Linked DNA regions of Cricetulus griseus. The protein of the gene in region 2 interacts with the protein of the main gene of each other region in a pairwise test. Links are inferred from orthologs where the notes say so. Each region holds a gene or a part of one and is shown on either strand. Other genes may lie near its edges.

Evidence for each region. The genes of interacting proteins can lie anywhere in the genome.
Region 1: the proteins of Fam118a (region 2) and Mob3c interact in binary tests that used the Homo sapiens proteins (3 or more experiments, as listed by UniProt). The link is inferred for Cricetulus griseus from reciprocal best matches to the Homo sapiens genes FAM118A and MOB3C.
Region 3: the proteins of Fam118a (region 2) and Wdr4 interact in binary tests that used the Homo sapiens proteins (3 or more experiments, as listed by UniProt). The two-hybrid records come from large-scale screens. The link is inferred for Cricetulus griseus from reciprocal best matches to the Homo sapiens genes FAM118A and WDR4.
Region 4: the proteins of Fam118a (region 2) and Atox1 interact in binary tests that used the Homo sapiens proteins (3 or more experiments, as listed by UniProt). The two-hybrid records come from large-scale screens. The link is inferred for Cricetulus griseus from reciprocal best matches to the Homo sapiens genes FAM118A and ATOX1.

Annotation. Positions count from the first base shown.
Region 1 is NC_048595.1:36,509,750-36,514,707, reverse strand, and holds the start of Mob3c (MOB kinase activator 3C), read left to right. Parts: upstream 1-1,852; 5' UTR 1,853-1,985; intron 1,986-4,958. UniProt on the Homo sapiens protein: May regulate the activity of kinases.
Region 2 is NC_048595.1:381,878,759-381,883,514, forward strand, and holds the start of Fam118a (protein FAM118A), read left to right. Parts: upstream 1-1,414; 5' UTR 1,415-1,550; intron 1,551-4,756.
Region 3 is NW_023276806.1:259,843,277-259,848,259, reverse strand, and holds the start of Wdr4 (tRNA (guanine-N(7)-)-methyltransferase non-catalytic subunit WDR4), read left to right. Parts: upstream 1-1,877; 5' UTR 1,878-1,947; coding exon 1,948-2,036; intron 2,037-2,197; exon of another isoform or gene 2,198-2,309; intron 2,310-2,537; exon of another isoform or gene 2,538-2,728; coding exon of another isoform or gene 2,729-2,796; intron 2,797-3,448; coding exon 3,449-3,517; intron 3,518-4,131; coding exon 4,132-4,275; intron 4,276-4,983. UniProt on the Homo sapiens protein: Non-catalytic component of the METTL1-WDR4 methyltransferase complex required for the formation of N(7)-methylguanine in a subset of RNA species, such as tRNAs, mRNAs and microRNAs (miRNAs).
Region 4 is NC_048600.1:69,641,706-69,646,782, forward strand, and holds the start of Atox1 (copper transport protein ATOX1), read right to left. Parts: upstream 3,107-5,077; 5' UTR 2,904-3,106; coding exon 2,835-2,903; intron 1-2,834. UniProt on the Homo sapiens protein: Binds and deliver cytosolic copper to the copper ATPase proteins. May be important in cellular antioxidant defense.

The DNA of each region.
Region 1 (4,958 bases), about 350 Mb from region 2:
TGACTTCCCTACCACTAATTATCCCTATATGCATCATCACTATCCAACTCTCCTGAAAACACTCAGGGTGCTCTGTGTGTTTCTTGTGGATATCCCCACTCCTGCCTCATGTTTAACCATCAAAGTATTATTTCCACTTCTGAATGTCTAAGCACTGACCCTGTTACCTGATTATGTTCTGTCCTGACTGCTGACCTATCAGCACCTGAGGTCAGAGACTGACTCGTCACCTTGATTTCAGTACACTGTCACACTCAACAAAGTGCATTGATTATTATATCAAATTAAAAAGAGCAAATGTGAAACCCACCGATACAGTGTTTAGTAGGGACAGGTTAAGACTTGGACACAAAACAGTAGAGAATTTTATGCTGGAACAGAAATAAGCCCGTGGTCAAAGAATGGATGCTTGGTTCTGACCTAAATTCTTAAGTATTTAAGTGTGTTCTTGTGCAATTGAGAAAGCAGGCCCAGGCCCAGACTCAGGGAATCCCAAAGGGGCATTAGTGCCATGGTATAAAACCACCTGTGGCTCTAGTGGTTCCCCAGTCACACCAGTTCACCATTCTCTTCCTCCAGGGTGACTTTGGCAGCTCAACTTGACCTTCTGTGTTTGTTGCTTTTCATGCTTTGACTAAATACTCAGGAGAAGCTTTTTATTTCAGCTCACATTTTGACAGTGCAGACCACCATGGTGGGGAAAGTATGGCAGGAAGAGCGTCTCTATGCTGTGGCAGTGGGAGCATGTGGCCACACTCCCAGAGATGTCTCCTTGGCAATTCCGAAGCCAGTGAAGCTGACGATGAAGATTAGCCATAATGCTTGTCTGTCTAATCTAGAAAGTCTCCAATTTCCCCTTCCCAGACAGAGCCTGCAGTCTGATTTCTGGGGTCAAGCCATGGTATGTGTTAAGCTGTGATGTGGGATATCGGCTTGTTTTCAAGGGAGAAATCTAGGTAGAAAAGTGGGCAATGAACATCAAGTATGGAAAGGTTTGAACCCGTTTGGAAAGGGTTGGGGGAGAAGCCATTCTGTAGAACAACAACGGAGACAATGGCTTGGAGATAGGATATAGGATATAGGTGACTTTGGTTGGTGTGAGAATCTACCCAGCCAGAACAAGGTCTCCAGCTGGTGTGGGGAAGGTGACATCTTCTTTGAACGTTCTCTGGGAAGGAGGGTGGAGGAATCAGTCCTTCCTCTCAGGAGTAACCCTGTCCACGACTCCCTATAGCTATTCACTCAATGGCTGGCTGGCTGGCTGGCTGGCTGGCTGGCTGGCTGGCTGGCTGGCTGGGAGAGGGTGTCGCTACACAGCCCTGGACTAGCCTGGAGTTCACAGAGATCTGCCTGCCTCTGCCTCCCTAGTGCTGGAATTAAGACATGCTCCCTCCCTCCCTCCACCACCAGCAGCATCTAGCCTTGAGTGCTGTTTGTGATAGTGGGCTGAAGCTGAATATAGGCTGTTAGGAACCCTATAGAGTTCAGAGACAAGTGAAGCTCAGATGACTGCGGGAGGACTAGGAAACCATTCAAACCACAAGGGTTTTGTTTTTTTCTTTCTGCTTCAGGGAGAAGCTGGAGTTACTCCCATTCTACAGCCTAGGAATCTGAGGCCGCCTTCTTAAGAAAGATCCAGACGGTCCCCTGGGGCGGCTGCTCAGTAAGTCCTCGGCCCTAGGGGAGGCTGCGAGCTCCACCGGACTTCCCACTTCCCGGAAAGGCTGGAGAGAAGAGTGTGTGTCCTGGGACGGGGGAGTCCCTTTCCCCGCCCCTCCCCGCCCCGTGGCCACGGCGTGGCTGAGCCCGGGGCGGAGCTGGCGTCTGCTCGCGGACGAGCGGCGGGACGGCGGCCGCAGCCCGGGGCAGGCAGGCGGACAGGCGCGGAGACCGGCCCGGCGGGATCACCCGCAGGAGGACGAGCCAGCCCGCTGCGGTGTGGCCGCACCGACAGAGACCCGGAGCTGTCCACCTAGGCGGAGCGCGTGAGTGAGAGCCGCGTCTCCGCGCCCCTCGCGGCCCGGTCTTGCTTCCACTTTCAGTTCTTCTTGGTCCTCGCTTGCCAACTTCTGGAAGCGACCCGAGCCCGAAAGCAGGCTGGCCACAGTCCTCAGCCCCGGGTCCAAGGCTCAGCGCCCGAACGCCGGGGTGGGGGGTGGCGGTGGCGGTGGCTGGTGAGGGGGCGTGTCTTCAGGAGCGGAAACGTCAGGCGGGCTCCTCTGGGTCCTAGGACCTGTTTGGCCCTAACTGCTGGAGATAAAGGGAGGTTCTTAGGAGCTCAAAGGAGGGGAGGGGGCGGGTCTGGCTGGACAGTAGCTGTGTCTTACACTCCTACTTTTATATTAGATCTTGTCCTGCAGGGCATACCTGGCTAGATTCTGAGTTCAGACTGGGGCGGTTTCTGAGCCAGGCCTGGGAGGGGCAGGTGTGTCCCTGGCAGGGGGCTAGATATTAGAAACAGGCTGGGTCGGTCAACCTTTGCTCTTCATCTGGGAAGATTAGATGCTCAGTCATGGAGTGAGCAAACTACTGGCCACTCACCCAGTAATTAAAGTGGAGGGTCCACTGGGAGAGAGGGCCCAGAGGCTCTGGAAGAAACAGTCTCAGTGATGGCATGAGGCTGGGGAGAGAACAGCGGTAAGAGACATAGCTAGAAGGGGACCTGCCCTCTTAGCTTACCTCCTGTACTCCAAGTTTACTCTTTCTAGGAAAAGTCCTGGGCCTTAAGTTCTACAGCAAGGAGGTGGGGCCTCTCTACTCCCTTCCTCTCCTCTTATCTACACCAGGCCAGTGGCCAGACAGCAGGAAAAGGGTCCTTTGTACCTTATTAGAGGCTAAGTCCCTCTCTATCCCAACCACCTACTTCTTATAACTTTCTATGCAAAGTTGGGCTCCTCAAATCCTGATTCTGGGCTTCAGTTTCCCCATCTGCTCATGTAGGTTAGGCCACTTGATTTTTCAGAGCTGTTTCAACTTGAAGACTTGTATTCCTATATGTCTGGTATTGTGGGTAAGTGAAGGTGGGCATGCAGGTATGGAGGCTGACATCAGTTATCTTACTCACTCTCCACTTCATTTATTGAGGCAAGGTCTATTTTTAAAAAATAATTACATTTATTTATGTGTACGCACACACACACACACACACACACACACACACGTATGTACCACAATGTACATGTTATAGTTAGAGACAGTTGGTGGGAGTTCTCTCCTTCTACCATGAGGGTCCCTCAGGCCAGTAAGTTTACCCATTGAGACATCTCACCAGCCCAAGGCAAGGTGTTTCTGAACCTGGGGCTTGCAGGGGTTCCCTGCCTCTACCTCCTAAGTTCTAGGGTTACAGAAGGCTGCCAGGTCTTGTCAGGTTTTTCATAGGTTCTGGAGATCAAAACTGGTCCTCATGCTTGCACTACAAGCTCTTTACCCACTGAACCATCTCCCCAGCCAACTCTAAGACTCTTGAGTCTAAGCTTTCCCTAAAGCCCGGCCACCAATGTTATGCCAGTCTGACTTTATCTAGAGGGCTTAGGGACAGAAATGGCAGAGTGGTCACCATACAAGGTTGAGATCTGGAGGAGGGTGCTGAAGGAGGTAGCATTCAGTAGGATGGAATGAGAAATCAGGAATCTAGCAGCAAAAGACACACATGCAGGAGAGAGTAAGGGCATGCTCAGGGATCAAGGAGAAGCCCAGGGTGGCTGCTGGTGGGAGGTGGAGTGGGGAAGTTAGGGTGTGGAGTTGAAAAGTAAGAGTCTATAACAGTCAGTAATGGTTGGCCATATCAAGGTGGAGGACCCAGAAACCCCACTGATTGCATGAGTGGTTTTGGAAATCCTGCCCCAGGCAGAGCTTACAAGGGAGACAGCAACTGAAGTATACAGAGCTCTTCATTCAGGAAGTTCAGGCCCCAGCCTGGCATTTCTTTGAGAAGAAGCTGGGGGGTGGGCAGAATAAATGAGAGAAACTTCCATACGTTCAAGCTTCTCTCAAGTGGTCAGGAACTCTCTCTGCCCTCTAAACTACTCTCCTTTTTCCTGATTGATCCATTCTGCTTGCCTGCTGTGATGAGAAGGAAAAACTGTTCCAAACATTTCTGTAAGTTTGATTTGTTGCCAGAAGTAACATCTCTCTGTACTCTATGCCTTTGGTTACCTAACCAACCTAACCCCCACCCTCTCTATCCTGGTCCTGCCACAGCAGTTAACAAAAATGTGAGAAAGGAAATTGCTTCAAAGTCAAGCCAGTCTGAGGTGAAGGATAAGCTTTGTCTGCCACTGTCTCAGGCCTCATTCAGTGTGGAGCTAGACTCGGGGTTTAGACAAACCAAGGTTGAGAACAAGTCAGAGTCAGCATGGAGCCCGAGCTCAGTGCTTAGCTTATACAGCCTAGCGGTCAGGGTCTGTGCTCCGTTTATTCCAGTCTTGGCAGTAGCCTGGATCTGTATTCCCCAGTAGTCATATACATTGGTGGGAGAGATGAAATGCCGAAGATGCTCAGAAACCTGACTAAATCAGAGTGTTCAAAGATTTACAAGGACTAAATCCGTGGTGATGTAAGCAAGCCAGTTTTGAATCAGGGGCTGGATCCCAGGACTTTGGGGGCTCTGATTGATGCCCCCTGAAGTCTGTTCTGAGTCTGGCAGCCTTCTGTTCTAAGAGGCAAAGCAAACATCCAGAAGGACCAGCAGGATGGATCTGGCTGCTCCCCCTGCCCCAGGGTAACAGGTGCATAGTAGGCATGCTGGCAATCATGTGGAGTGCCAGGTGTATTCAGTGGCTTATTCAGGTTTGGGGCTGAAGGAGGTTGGCTTAGAGGAAAGGAGCATTAGCATTTGTCGGAGGAAGTAGCACTCTTCTAGACCTGCCACCCTCCCCTTCCTGTAATGCCTGCAGCCACACTTCAGGCCACCCAGATGGCTATGTGAGGGCCCTTTCCTCTTTCAGTGTAAAGAAAAA
Region 2 (4,756 bases):
CAGTCTGTGTCTCCAAGGGGTTGTGTTTGGATGGAGAGTTGAGATTACTTGGGCTCTACCACACTGGACCTTGGAGGACATTCAGTCTCTCTCTCTCTCTCTCTCTCTCTCTCTCTCTCTGTCTCTCTCTGTCTCTCTCTCTCTCTCTGTGTGTGTGTGTGTGTGTATGTATGTATGTATGTATGTGTACTGTGGGTCCAAAATCTACACCTTCTAGCCCACAATCTCCTTGAACAAGTTCCTCCCCGGGACCCAGAAACTCCCTCAGTGTCACAAGTCTAGGTCTTGGGACTTGGCATAGACAGGGGTAGGAACTTGTGAACTAAGATGCATCACACTTAAATTGCCCAGTCCAGGGGCTGGAAGCCTGGACTGTGGTGGGAGTCAATGCATGGCTGGTATTGCCAATACAATGTCCCTGGGCCTCCATCTCTTCTGCAGTTAATTGCAGTAAATGTGGTGCCATTCATGGGGTTGTTCTGAGGACTATTCAAGGAATATTCAAAGACTCAGGTAGGTGCCCAATACTTGCATGGGAAACCACTGGCTCCACAAATTTCATGCTGAAAGTTGTTTAATACCAGAGTCTATCAAAAATGCAGTGTCCTTGTGGGCCGGAGGGATGCTAACAGCAAACCCCGGTAGAAAAATTGAGGCAGAGAGAAAGTCCTGAAAACTTGCCTGAGCAGGGAGAACCCAGGAAGGCAGGGGGGAGGAGGAAGTGGGTTTTGATCCAACTCAGCCTTATTTAGAGAAAGGAGAGGTGTAACCACCACTGAAGGTTCCTCAGGCTGAGTGCTCCAGCGAAGTGCCCACCCACGTGTGCCCTCCACGGTCCAGGGCCGGTACTGAGTTCACCCTGATTGACAGGTGCGGAAGCTGGGCACAGGTGCTCAGAAGTCCCTGGAACCGAGCCCAAGCTGGATGTGTACAAGAGGGACCTGGGGCACACCGGGAGGGCCAGATGCCAGCTCTGGCACAAGCTGGGAGAGACGGTCACTGCGGGAAAGCAAGCCTGGGCCAGGTAGGGGCACAGTCGGCGCAGCCTGTGGCTTGAGATGGAAGGAGAGCGCCCGAGTGCTGGGCTGGACGCGGTTGCCGAGGGGTGGTTACGATCAAGCTCGACGACCTTCTCGTCTTTGCAGGGCGGTCCAGGGGTGCAGATAGGGAAACTGAGGCTGCAAAGCAGTGCAAGGGAGCTCCACAGCGAGCTGTCAGTTTCTTAAGACCTCGCTCGTTCTGTTCACCGCTGCATAGTCCGCCTGTTCATAGCCTCGGGGGCGGGGCGCGCCACGCCTACGCCCACTCCAGGCGGGGCTTCCCGTTGCCGCGGGGCCGTTGATTTCAGGGCGGAACGTTCGCACGGGGAGTGCGCGCGCGCGGGGGAAGGCATTGAGGGAGCGCTGCGGGTTCGGCTCGGCAGGCTCCGCGTGGTGCGCGCGCAGCGCCATCCGGCGCACCGCCCGGCGGCTCCACCCAGCCTGAGGGGCGCGGCCCGGGTAGGAGGCGGCAAGAGCGCGAGCGACACTGGCGACTCCGCTGCGCGGCAGGTGAGGCGGCGGGTCGGGGCCGAGTGCCAGCACCCCGTGTCTCCCCAGCCCTCAGGACCCGCCCTAAGTTCCCGGGACCCCAGTTCCCTCAGATGTCCTGGTGACCCCTACCTCTGGCATCCCCTGGGACTGCCTGGGTCCGCGGCCACCTGTGGACTGGACCACCTTTTAGTCCCGGGAACCCCCCAAACCCTCCAGTTTTTCCCCATACTCAGCACACAGAGGACCTCGGTGTCTTCAAGGCCTGAGCCCCTGCCGTCTTCTGCTCCAGAAGTCCAACAGAATCCCCTCTGGTTCCGCTCCAAAACCTCGAGTCTCCCCGGCCGGTGAACTCCCAACCTTTCTTGGGTGGAGGCCTTCAGAGCCACCTCTCCCCAATGTCCTTCCTTCCTGGGATCTCCTGCCTCCTGCTTTCTAACTTGAGGTTCACAGAGCCCTGCAGCCTCTACTAGAGTGTTCTTGAGGTTTGTGATTTGTTAGCAGGAATAAAAGTACAAACATTCGACAGGTCAGCGGAGGGCCACGTATAACCAAAGAGGAGGTGGGACGTGGGGCTCCGTATGTGCGTTGTGCTCACTGTGGGACCGCATTTTAACTCGTGAGACCCATATGGTAGAGAGACATCGCTGGGAGTGAAGGAGTTGAGCAGACAAGGCTCTTTTAGGTCGTGTTCTCAATGCGTGGTAGTTTTTATTACCATACACAGCCCACCAAAACCAGCCCAAGAGAGCAAGGCTTGATTACAGTGGCCTAGTTGCTAGGAAGATGGCAGCTTGAAGGGCCATCCTTCTGGGATCTTGCTTTAGGGGTGGCTTGCATAGGAAATGCAAGTCAGTAGCTGTTTTTCCCGAGGTGAAAGTTTGGAGCCGAATGGTACACATCCTTTTCAGTCCTGGAAATCTCTAGAACAAAGATTATCATTTCCTCAGGCTATTGTCATTGATCAACAGTTCTGGACTTTACTACACAGTCTGGTGCCCTGAAGCACTGCTACCAAAAAGAACACACTTGACCTGATGATTGTGAAAGACAAGGGTCAGACATTGTCAAAGAGGGAGTGGGTGCCCTATGTGGTCCAGTGTGCTTAGTGCTGGAGACAGAATTTCTTAGGTGACATTTTATCTGTTTGCTCACAGCATAGTCACTTTAGTGTCTCTCACCAGGGTGATTCTTATAGGTCAGCTGGGGAGTCTTGAAGGCAATGGAAAGGTGCTGAAGGCGACACATTTGGATGTGTCAGCACCATCCTCTGTGTGACCAGAGGGGCTGAAGCTGCAAGCCAGAGTCGTGGAAAGAGTGGATTTAGAGATCATGAAGAATAGATGAAGCCTAGACTTGGGAGATGCAGAGGGAACTGGAGATAGCCCGGTACAGGAAGGTTTTCTGTGGCCACCACAGCACTCTGTGGTAGAGTATTCAGACACCAGCCACACATGGCTGACAGTCACTTAGAGTATGCCTACAGTGACAAGACTGGATTTTAATGGATTAAATCTAGGGGTCATGTGAAGCATGCTCTGTAAGTTACTCTAGTGTTATCCTGTGGAAGCCTCTGGCTACCTGGGAGGTACACACTCTTCCTTTTTCATGTGTCACGGAGCAGACTCAAGAGGGTTGTGTAGGCTGTCGGCAGCACGGCACATCTGTTTTTGGTCGGAGCTTTTTGTGTACCTTTCCTTTCCCCACAGCCTTCCGCCTGGAGCCTTCCGCTTGGAAAAGTGGCCACACCTCTTCTCCTTTAGCTCTCCTTATCAGTTCTGCTAAGGTTACTTCAGGCAGCTGTGTGACAATGCTGTTTATGCTGGCTGGCTGTGTGTTTCTGTCTGTCTGTTCATCCCTCCCAGCTTCCCTGATACCATGTTTCTGGGGAATGACAGAGGGTCAGCAGGCTAAACAGAGCAGTCAACCTGGGGGCCCAGGTGTGGAAGTGAATGTGACAGGGAGACTTGGGGCTGCAGGGGTACAGGCAGTGCCTGCTGTAGTCAGAGAGTCTGGAATGCCAACCAGGAGTGAGTTATTGCTGTCCCCAGTGCTTGGGGAGACCTTGACCAAATTACTAGAGGCTTAGCTTTCACCTCAGAAAAATGAGGGCATTTGGCATTATGTAAACCTTAAGATCCTCCCAGCTCTGAAATTCTATGATTTTAAGTTGCCCTAAAGAATATCTCTTCTGCATCTTCTGGGGTTGGGCGGTCATTTGGGCCCAGTTGGGGGCTTTTACCATTACTGACTTATTAAATGAATGTAAATACCTGTGTTATGGTATGTGTCACCTCTGACGGGTAGACTCAAGCAGTGAGTGCTGTGGATGGCAGATTCCTGGGAAGACATCCCATGTATTGTTTGCATCCCAGCACACTGGTGTAGAATGGGGGTCAGACTGCAGCGTGGTAGTCGCCTCTAGAATGGACTCAGTGTGAATCGTGCAGGTGAGGGCTGCTGGCTCTTCATTTTAGAGGCTGGAATGAGACCATGCATGCAAAGTGCTTCCTGTTTTTCCCTAAAAGCAGCAATAATAATTATTATTATTATTATTATTTTTGGACAAGCTCTCTCATGCCCAGGCTGGCTTTAAACTTAGTATATAGCTAAGAATGACTACCGAACTTCTAATCCATCTGCCTCTATCTCTAAAATTCTGGGGGCCACAGGTGTGTGCCAGCAAGTCTGGATAATGCTGTCCATAGAAGGAACTATTATATTAAGTGTTTTGGTACTGGTAGGATTTTGCCTTTTTGGGTTTTTTGAGACAGGGTTTCTCTGTATAGCTTTGGAGCGTATCCTGGCACTCTCTCTGTAGACCAGACTGGCCTCGAACTCACAGAGATCCACCTGCCTCCGCCTCCCGAGTGCTGGGATTAAAGGCAGTGCACCACCAACGCCCAGCCTTCCTTTTTCTTTTTTAGAATTTTTTTTTTTTTTATTGTGCATGTGATGTGTGTTAGTACATGTGACACAGCATGTGCGGAGGTCAGTGGACAACTTTGTGGAATCATTTCTCTCCACCTTTTTGGGGGGATGGGTTGAGACAGGCTTTCTCTGTTATGTAGCAATTTCTTTTTTTTATTTTTTATATATTTGAATTACAAACAAACATACCAATTTCTTAATTTGGGCTCAAATATTTAAGCAGCTTGGGAGCACTACTTTCAAGATACCGGTTAGGACTTTTTTTTTTTTTTTTTTGGTATTGTTTTGAGACAGTC
Region 3 (4,983 bases), on a different chromosome or scaffold from region 2:
GGAGGGGGAGACACAGAGGCAAAGTGAATTGCCTAGTAAATTCTAAAACTGAACCTGGCCAGGTGGTGGTGTGTTACAGGATTTTGATCTGTTTAGCCAATGGCTTTTGGGGCAGCAAGCATGGTCTTGTCCGCCTTCAATCCCAGCACTCTGGAGGCAGAGGCAGGCAGATCTCTGTGAGTTTGAGGCCAGCCTAGTCTACAGAGTGGATTCCAGGACAGCCTCCAAAGCCACAGAGAAACCCTGTCTCGAAAAACCAACACAAACAAACAAACAAAAGCCCCCAAAACAACAACAAACAAAACAACAAAAACTGAACCTGCTGCCAGAGTGATTATTTCTGGGTAGCATTTGCTCAGGGATTTGAAATTTGGCAACAGCACATAACAGGAACCCGGAGGAAGCCAAATTTGTTATTTGTGTGTGTGCTCGTGATTCACTCATTGCTGCTAGTACACATGGGTATGGAACCATCTACTAGATTATGGGTCATATGACTTCTCAGAGCCATATTCTTGAAGAAAGTTGACCACCCCCTCACTTCCAGAAGCCATCAATTGCCAGTAACTTCCCAGCTATGTTTAAATTGGAGCCCACCTATTTTTTGGGGGGGCATTAATACTGAATAACCTTCCAGGAACCTGGACTTAAGCACCACCAACGGGTGCAAGATAAAATGGGTAGTTTAACAGGAACAGAGGCCTCTGGGCTCCAGATTTCCCAAGGGCAGGAAGGGGGAAAGTCACTCAAAGGGCTCTTTCATCAAAGTAGCCAAGAAAGTTCTGGAAAAGGAGAGGCACCTAAGAGGGTAGATCTCAGGCCCAGTCAAGGCATAACCTGCTCCAATGGATACTAAAAACTCTGCCCAGTGAGCTTCAGAATTGTGATCGACCAAAGATCCTGTCATGTGTGGGTCCCTCCCCCGAGTCACATGTTAGGTTTTGAGTAAGCTGTTACATAAATGGACATGCTTGTGCCTTTCCACATTGTCAGCACTGTGCAGAAGGGCTTGATGACAGGTGGGTTTTTGTTTTTTTGACAGGTGTGTTCTGTGGTACCTTAGCATTAGGTACAACTTTCTCTTTAGGGCCCAGACAAAGGGCTTGCATTATTTATTGGTGTTTGATAAGCTCAGGATTTTGATTCACCCCTGATTTAACTTATTTAGTTTGTAGGTGGTGATTTAATTTGCACAAGTGATTTTTATCAGTCTCTGCTCTGCATTAGAGTTGGTGAGTGTTTACTTGCACAAGTAAAATGAAGAGTCACTCTGTCTGAGGGAAAAATGGAGCTTTATAAAATGGACTCGCTCGGGGATCCGCACAGCGTTAAGACGGCAATTCTACACAGCATTAGTGACTGATTTTGCTGCGAGTCACAGACTAGGATGTGATGGGGGTCGATAAACCATCTTTTTAGGAGCTGCCTCGGGGGCCCACATCCAACCAGTAAGATAGCACCGCATTCTGGGCCTTTTAGAGCCACTGGGACGGGACGAGTCTTTTGTGGACCTGGGGAGGCACACCATTAAACACGTTTAGACAGGGGGGATCGAGGCGACTTTGTCGTACACGAAGAGGGTGCGTAGCACAGTTCCAGCGGCCTTGCCTGAATTGAGACAGACTGGGCCTGGCCATCCAGCACTGACGCCATTCGGCAGCTTTTTACCGGCACCCTCTGGGTACCAGGCTCCGTCCAAGAGGAAGCCCTAGAACTTAGAAGCACCGAACCTGACGGACCAGAAAGCCAGTCAATAGGAAAGGTGCATGGGGAGGACCCAGCTCTGGAGCAGCAGCACCCTCGGGTACTCAGAAACAAAGGCGACCACTCCCTGTGCGCATGCTCCAAGCCGGCTCGCCCATGGCGCGGCGCTGAGTGACGTCACTGGCGGGCGCCAGCAGGGAGGGCGCGGTGCGTCGCACGTGTGCGGAGGCCGCGGGCGGGCCCATGGCGAGCTCCGCGGGGCTGGCGCTGTGCGGCCAAACGCTCGTGGTGCGGGGCGGCAGCAGGTTCCTGGCCATCTCCACTACAAGCAGGTAAGAGGCCCGGGCCGGTGGCGGGGCCTCACCGCGGGGCCTCACCGCCGCTGTCCCGAATGAGGCCTCCTCCTCCTCCTCCCTGTTCCCCGACCTCGGAGTCCCCACGACCTGCACGGCGGGTCTGGGGCGCACGCTCCGTTGGGGTGGAGTCCGGGCACTTCCGGACTTTGCGGCGCCTGCGCGTCGTGGGGAGGGCCGAGTCACGTGCGTGTCGCGGAGGCCAGACTTGGGGTCTGGGTGCTCCAGACTGACCTGCCCGGAACCTCACTGGTGAGCCTGGTGTATTGCGAACTCTGCTGGCTCTCACCGAGCACAGGCGTGCTTCCCGCCCCTTGTCTGTGTCCAGCAACCCGGCTCTAGCTGCTGTGCGGGGTTTTTAGGTTTATACCCCGACACCTCCCAGTCCCAGGATGCACGCAGAGCCTGAAGCGGGCATCTCCCTCTTAGTCCTTCCCAATAGTGGTTTTGCTTTACGTTATTCCCGTAGTGGTGGGTCAAGGGATGCTTGACTCAAGTGAATGGTGGAGCAAGTAGTGACCCAGGAACCGAAGGACTTAGTGGCAGTCCGTTTTGGCTTCTTTTCCTTTTCCCATTTAGTTTCCGTACTCTGACATTTGAAGATTAGGAATGTTCCTCAGTTTGTGTCGTCGAGGGACTGCTATTGGCCAGCAAGGTTTCAGACTTGGAAAATGACTTTTCTTTCTGCAGCTCAGTGTTTAATTGGAAAAGTCTTTGGTGCGGCTGTCAATAGTACAAGGTGCTTTAAACCGGGCCAGAGCACCCAAGGGAGCTTAGGTTCTAATAGGGAGAGTGGGCGATTCCTATATGAGTAGGTGCCTGAGGCTTGTGGGGGCTTTCTCCCCAGCAGGTGAGACATGCTTCTGAACCATGTAAGGACAGCCTCGACTGTTTTAAATTTGCGAGCAGAGCTCAGTTGAAAATAACATCAGAACATGGGCTGGAGAGATGCCTCAGTGGTTAAGAGCACTGATTACTCTTCCAGAGGTCCCGAGTTCAATTCCCAGCAACCACAAGGTGGCTCACAGCCATCTATAATGAGATCTGGTGCCCTCTTCTGATGTGCAGGCATATATGGGGGCAGATTGTTGTGTACATAATAAATAAATCTTAAAAAAAATAACATCAGAATATAATCTCTTAGAATCAACAGTTTGGTGCCTGGAAGAGTCCACTGATTCCAGGTGTGCCCCACTGTGCCAGGTGGAACTGATTTAGAACAGAAACATGCTGGCTGTTCATGATACAGCCTATTAGGGGGTTAAGCAGATGACAATTCTTGGCTCTTCTGTCCTGGAGAAGGCCCCAATTCAATGATGATGAAATGTCCTAGAGTGACAAGAAGCAGTTCTGTGTGTTGATAAGCTCTCATTCTGGTTTCTTCCCTATAGTGACGATGACTGCGTCTTCACATACGACTGCAGTGCTGCGGAGAAAAAGTCAGTGCCAGGAGATAAAGGGTGAGATGGTGGGGAATCGTGCTCACTTGTGGTTTGAATGGTGAGACCAGTAAGCCGAGGCAGGAATTTCTAGTTGTGGGGCGAGGCTAAGTTCCATCTCAGAAAGAAACATGGAAATAATTTTAAGGGCCTTCCCAAATACTTTTAGTGTCCTTAGTAACCATTTTTTGTCACTGGTCCCTTAAATTAATAAGGAGCATATCAAATGCATTGAGAGCAGGTGTGGGGAATTAACTAATTGAAAGGGACACAGCAGTGTGTGATTGTTTTGAGTGGTAGCTTGGTCTTGTGACTCAGTTTGTTAGCGATATTATTGGTCCCTGCTTCTAGCCTTGGATTAGTCCATATCTAGGAGGGTTAGGCCATGTGATTGCTGAGAGTGCTTCCAGCGCACACTGGATGTTAGTGTGTTTGCAGAGGGCTCCTGTTGGTTTAGGTTTCACGCTTGTAAAATCAGAGCTGTTCTCTGAACTTCCCCTTAAGTTTCGTCACTATGCTTTGGCTACATGACCTGCTTGACCAAGCGTCTTCTGCCTTCCCTGTGTTAGAATGGACAAGCTTGGCAACTCAGGTGAGGCCTAACTGTTTTCCTTTCTTCCTCTGCCCTTCTTCAGGGAGGACGGACAGCCCATCGACAAGGGGAGTGACACGATTCTGGCGTCCACCTTCTCCAAGTCTGGCAGCTATTTTGCTTTAACTGATGACAGTAAGCGTCTGATTCTTTTCCGTACAAAACCATGGCAATGTCTGAGTGTCAGGTATGAAATGCTAACATTGAGTCATTAAGATGTCCTATGCACTCCTTGTCCTTGCATGTCATACATCAGCAGTGGTGACAGGGACCATTGTAATAGCAGCTAACATGAAGTGCCAGCTATGTGTGAGACACTGATTTCAGAGCTGTACATGCACTAACTGACTGAATCCTAATAGCACGGGAGGGTGGCCTGGCCCTGCTCCTCCACATGGGGTGGCGTAGGGTTAAGTAGCCGTTTCAGGACATGGAGCTGGGAAAGGCAGAGCCAGGCTGTGTAGCTGCTCCTCTGGCTGCAGTGTCAGTACCCTGTATGCCATATGTCTTCCTGCATTCCCCGTTGCTGTGGCCTCATATACCTGACAGGATTAGGACTGTTAGCTCACACTCAAGATGCCAGGGCTTTGGATAAGTGGCAGTGGCTGTTGCACATTTGTAAGCTAGGTGGTGGGCTACATCCTTTTGTGTCTGAGGAGAAGATAAAAGACGAGGTAGGTGTAGGGTGAGACAACTGGGCAGGACTGCAGGTGGGTATTCTAGTCATTTCTCCCAATAGGTACATAAATACGCTGCATCACTTACTCTTCCTCTCAAACTGTAACTGTCATTTCTGAAGGCAAGGTTCAGGGAGAGAAATGGGCCTGTGGTTATGGGGGAAGTTACGGTGGTGATGTTGAGGAGGCGGCTGTGAATCTGTGTTTCTGGAGATGCT
Region 4 (5,077 bases), on a different chromosome or scaffold from region 2:
CTCCATAACAGTCTCCAAAGCTACAGAAAAACCCTGCCCGGAAAAACCTAAACAAGCAAGCAAATAAAAGCCAGGTGCATGCCTTCAATCCCAGTACTCAGGAGGCAGAGGCAGGCGGACCTCTGAGTTCGAGGCCAGAGGTCTACAGAGTGAGTTCCAGGACAACCAGGGCTACACAGAGAAACCCTGTCTCAATCTCCCCACCCCCCCAATAACAAAACAACTAATTTTTAAATAAATAATAAAAAATATTTCATTTCAAATAATAAATAGGGCTAGAGAGACAGCTCAGTAGTTAAGACTACTTGTACTTTCCCAGAAGTTCTGAGTTTGGTTCCCTGAACTACAACCACCTGTATCTCCAACTCCAGGGAATCTGAAGCTCTTCTATCTCTGCACATAAATGGTGCGCATGCACTCTCGCTCACACAAATAAACCTAAAAGATAATAAGTATACTATACTTATCCACTTATTTGCATGTGTGAGTGTGTGCCATTGAGTAAGTGTGGATGTCAGAGGCTATCAGGCTTGCTACAAATATCCTTATCAGCTGACCCATCCTACCACCCTCAAACTCCTTTCTGCAGTATTTTCCTAGCTTGAAAACAGAACTATTCATTTCCTCTTGCTGGGAGGTCACTAAGGTGATGAGGCCATGGGTGCAAAGGCAGGAGCCCTAGAGAGGCTTTCTTTGCTCCAGGGAAATCTTGTTGGTTTTATAACAGCCCATCCTCCACAAACTGACTCTGAGAAGAATCTCTGAAGGGGGTTTCAGAAGATAAGTAATTGCTGCTCAGGGATCTAAAGTCAACAGTTATCTGAGCTCCAAACTGAAGACCCTAACAAGGAAGTCTTTCACAGTACAGAGGTGGGGGGGTGGGCAGCTCACAGGAGGCCAACACTCCACTCCAACTCAGAACTCCCTACACCTCTGCCTACAAACTCTGCAGTTTACACCTGAGGATGACAGAAAGTTCTGCCTAATGGATAGGGTGATCCAGTCTTCACAGGACTATCTCAAGACCTGCTCCATCCCTGGATGTCTCCCCAGTGCCTCTTACAAAAGGGTCATGGAAGAATGGCAGAGCATACACAGGCCCCAAATTAACACTTGGGAGGCCTACGTAGGAGGATTGCTACAAGGATCAGTTGGGCTACATATTCACTTATAGGCCAACCTGAGTTACAGTGTGAGATGCTGTAACAGAAAACAAGCAAAATGGATCCTCTGACGTATATATTAATGTTCTACGGCAACACGCTGTATTATGTATTATGTATTATTACATACAGTATTACTTCAGAGAGCCGGTAAGTGGTACAATTCTTTAACAGACCCTCTAGAACTGGAACAGTGGGAATGGAAGAGGAGAAGTTCTTCTAGAGAACATTGTGTCTTTGGACACTGGTGTCTGGATTCCTGATTACTAATATCTAATTATCTCTGATGTGCCAGGCCTTCTTCTAAACACCTTGTACACTGTCTTGTTTGATAGCTACAATGCTTCCATAAGCCAGGAAACTCTTCCTATTCCCAAGAGATGAGAAAGCTGAAGCTTGGAGGTTGGGTACTGACTCAGGGAGATGCAGCTCATGAGTAACAGGGCCTGGGTTGGACAGAGTACACAAAACTCTAACTTTTAACCACTGAGGTCCACGTTAAAATGGGGTGGAAGCCTGTCCTACATCTACACAGGAGGTACACCACTCCTTGGGGACCGGATGGGTCACTAGTTGTGTTAGATATTTTGATGACATCATTCTAGTTAATACCAAACACAGCCCTGCAAGGTCAGTTTCCAATCCCTATTTTATGGATGAGGAGATGGAAGGCACACACAGAGAGACAGAACATCTTGCCTGAAGTTGCCCAGCTGGCAAGCCATAGGGCATAGACTGGGTTAAGCTTTGGCATGCAAACCACCTTTGGTAAAACTCATTCCCCTGGCTAGACTGGAGGCGGCACTTGAAAGATACCTTTAGTTGTTGGTCTTGAGCTAAGGTGTCTACTATATGCCTCACTCCAATGAAAGTCCCCAGAGGCAGACACAGAATAGAGGGGTCTGCAAGTTATTTTCTTCACTGCTCTCCCCAGGAGAGCCTGGCAGCCTTGACTCTGGGATCCCAGGGTTATGAATGAGCCTCACACTGCAGGACAGACTGGCTTGACTGGTAGGATGGACTTTATCAAGTCTTTTGTTTGTGCTTTGTGCGATCTGAGGAAAAGTCTCTCAAGACAAAGGGTAAGAACCACAAGTGCCACCTGAGATGTTTAAGTCTGCATCAGGTGGGAGCCTCTGGTTCACTCACAGACGATAAGCCCGCTAAAATATGCCCACTGGGTTCAGAGGCACCAGGAGAAAAATGCTCCCGACTCCAAGGCCCTAACCATTATCTCAGGAACTCAACACAGATCAGAGCTCAAAGGCAAGCAGTACAACTGGTTTTGCCCAGCACTTCCCAGGTGATCTGGCTTCATCCTGGATCCTATCTACCTAGCGCCCAACTAGCGCCCAATAAATACTCTCCAACAAACACTGGGCTTTTTCTTATCTTGTGTAATGTTCCAAAGGCCTTTATTAATAAGCAATGAGGCTATGAGGCTAGAAACCACCATGCACAGGAGTGGGTGATTTCAAAGGCAAGGTAAGCGCTGCTCTTGGCTCTGGAAACTCTGCTCCGAGCTTTGGGAACTCCTGGCTGGAAAGGAGGAAAGTATCCTTTCGGTTCAGGGTTGCCCAGGGCTGAAGTGGAAGCAGGCCAGTGTGGGCAGGGGAGGTGGAGAGACCTACTTCTTTGAAAACCTACTAGCTCGGCGGCAGGGGCATGCACCTGGAAAGGGCAGGTACCGGCGTCCCGATGCGGGTTCTCTGCCCTACCTCCCGGTTTCAGTTTCTCCATCGTGCAGGGAAGATTGGGGCTGCTCCTTGACTCTCTAGAGCGATCTTGAGGCCTATATTCTGCAATACAGTTCTCTCTACAGGTTTCCCGAGGGTCGCGAAGCTGGAGGGCGAGTGCGGAGGGAGAGTAAACTAAAGCATGACTGCAGCTCCGGCCATGGCACGCGCCCTAATAGCAGCGTCTGGTCGGGCAGCGGTGCATCGGGCCGGAGAAAACGGTTCGCACGGGTGGAGCGGCAAGGCCACTTACCGGCATGACTGACGCGGCACAGGCTGGGAAGGCGGCGGCAGCGACTACGACTGGAACGCCTCTCCCGGGGCAGCAATGCGGCGCTTCCGGAGAGCGTTCCTGGAAGCCCCACTTTCAAGCCGACCCAGCCTACTGTTAGGCCCCGCCCTAGGACTGGGCTCCGCCTACTCCCCGCCCCTTCCGGGTTCAGCTATGGCAAGGCTCCGCCCCTGAGGGAGGCTCTGCTTAGTTCCCGTCCCTTTCGGCTGAATTACAGCCTGGCCCCGCCCCCTGGGCTGGCCTCCACTTAGTTCCCGCCTCTTTCTAGTCTCAATATATTATTAGGCCCCGCCTCTTTGAAGCTTAGTCACTGGCCCTCCGGAGGGGCCGGAGGGACTGGACTGTTTTGAGACTTGCCCGAAGTTGTCACATGAGATCTTAGGACGTGAAACTGCGCTCTTCACTGGGAATGCAAGATCAAGACTCCTAGAAAGGATGGATCCCGGCATTCCTTGCTACACTAGAGTGGGCTAGCCTAGGGCTGCAGGCCTGTTGTTCCAGCTACTAGAGAGAGGCTCAGAAAAGAAGGGTTCCTGGTTCAGGACCCTGGGCTGCAGAGTTCAAGGCCTTCATGGAATTCATGAGACCTTATCCTGAAAAACATTAGGAAAAATAAAAGAAATCCATTTCTTTTAAGACACTAGGCATATAGGTACACGCCTGTAATCCCAGCACTTGAAAAACTGAGGCAGAGTTGGTTGTGGTGGCACACACCTTCAATCCCAGCATTCCAGAGTCAAAGACATGAGGGTCTCTTGAGTTCAAGTCCAACCTGGTCTACAGAGTGAGTTCCAGGATAGCCAGGGCTGTACAGAGAAACCATCTTAAAAACAAAGCCAAAAGCCAAGGAAAAATTAAAACAACAGAAAAAGCTGAGGCGGGAGGATCCGGAGTTCAAGGTAGCTGGGGCCTTTATTCTCAGCACTCTGGAGGGAGAAACTTCCTCCCCTCCCCCTTCCTATAGGCCAATTGGATGAAACCAATTTTTCAATTACAGTCCCTTTTTCAAGATGACTCTAGCTTGTGTTAAGTTTACAAAAATCTAACCAGCACTCCTATCCTAAAGAAAAACAAAAAAACCTGTGAGAATGCAAGTGTTATTCCCATGCAATTATGGCTGCCATGGTTAGTTGAGTTACTACATGGGTAATCCAATACCCTTGAAGATGGGTTTTCTCAGCAGTGCCAGCAGGAGCCACTAGATGACTACTGATGGCCTAGATTGATCTCCACCACCAGCCATTTATGTTCCTTGAGCAGAAGGTTAAGAGAAGATCCCTAAACTAAGTAGGCAACTTGTCATTCTGTGTATCAAGATGGGTTCAGTCAGAAAACCAGGCAATTTATTGTACACAGAAGTTATGAGAAGTTGGCTAACAGGAAAAAGCCTAAGAATCAAAGAATAGGTGGATTGGGGGGGTGGTGGCTGAGAGTCAAGGGAATCATGAATTGGAGACCAGTCTGAGCTACCCAAGAACCTGTCTTAAATCAAATGAACTAAAATAACTAAGAATATAGCAGACTGGGCAGGGTGAGCACCTGTAATCTCATCACTTGGGAATTGGAAGCAGGGGGAGTGCAGGAACTTCAAGGTCAGCCTACCTAATACCACATCCGAAGCACCGCCCCCTCCACCCCAGATACAAAAGTGTGGTGGATGTAAGATTCCACCATCCAGAAAGCTGAGACATGGTGTCCAAGAAGTAGGTCCTGTCCCCTGCACGCCAGTCCCAAACTGAGCTCAAAGCCTTATTAGGAAGGGCACAGCCGTGACCCGCTGAATGCAGAGTGCCTGGGTCCTGGCTTAGAAGTCTGGCTGGGAGGCTACTGGAAAAACACCTGCATCCCTTACAAGGGAACTAATACCACTCTCTGCTCTTCTCCCC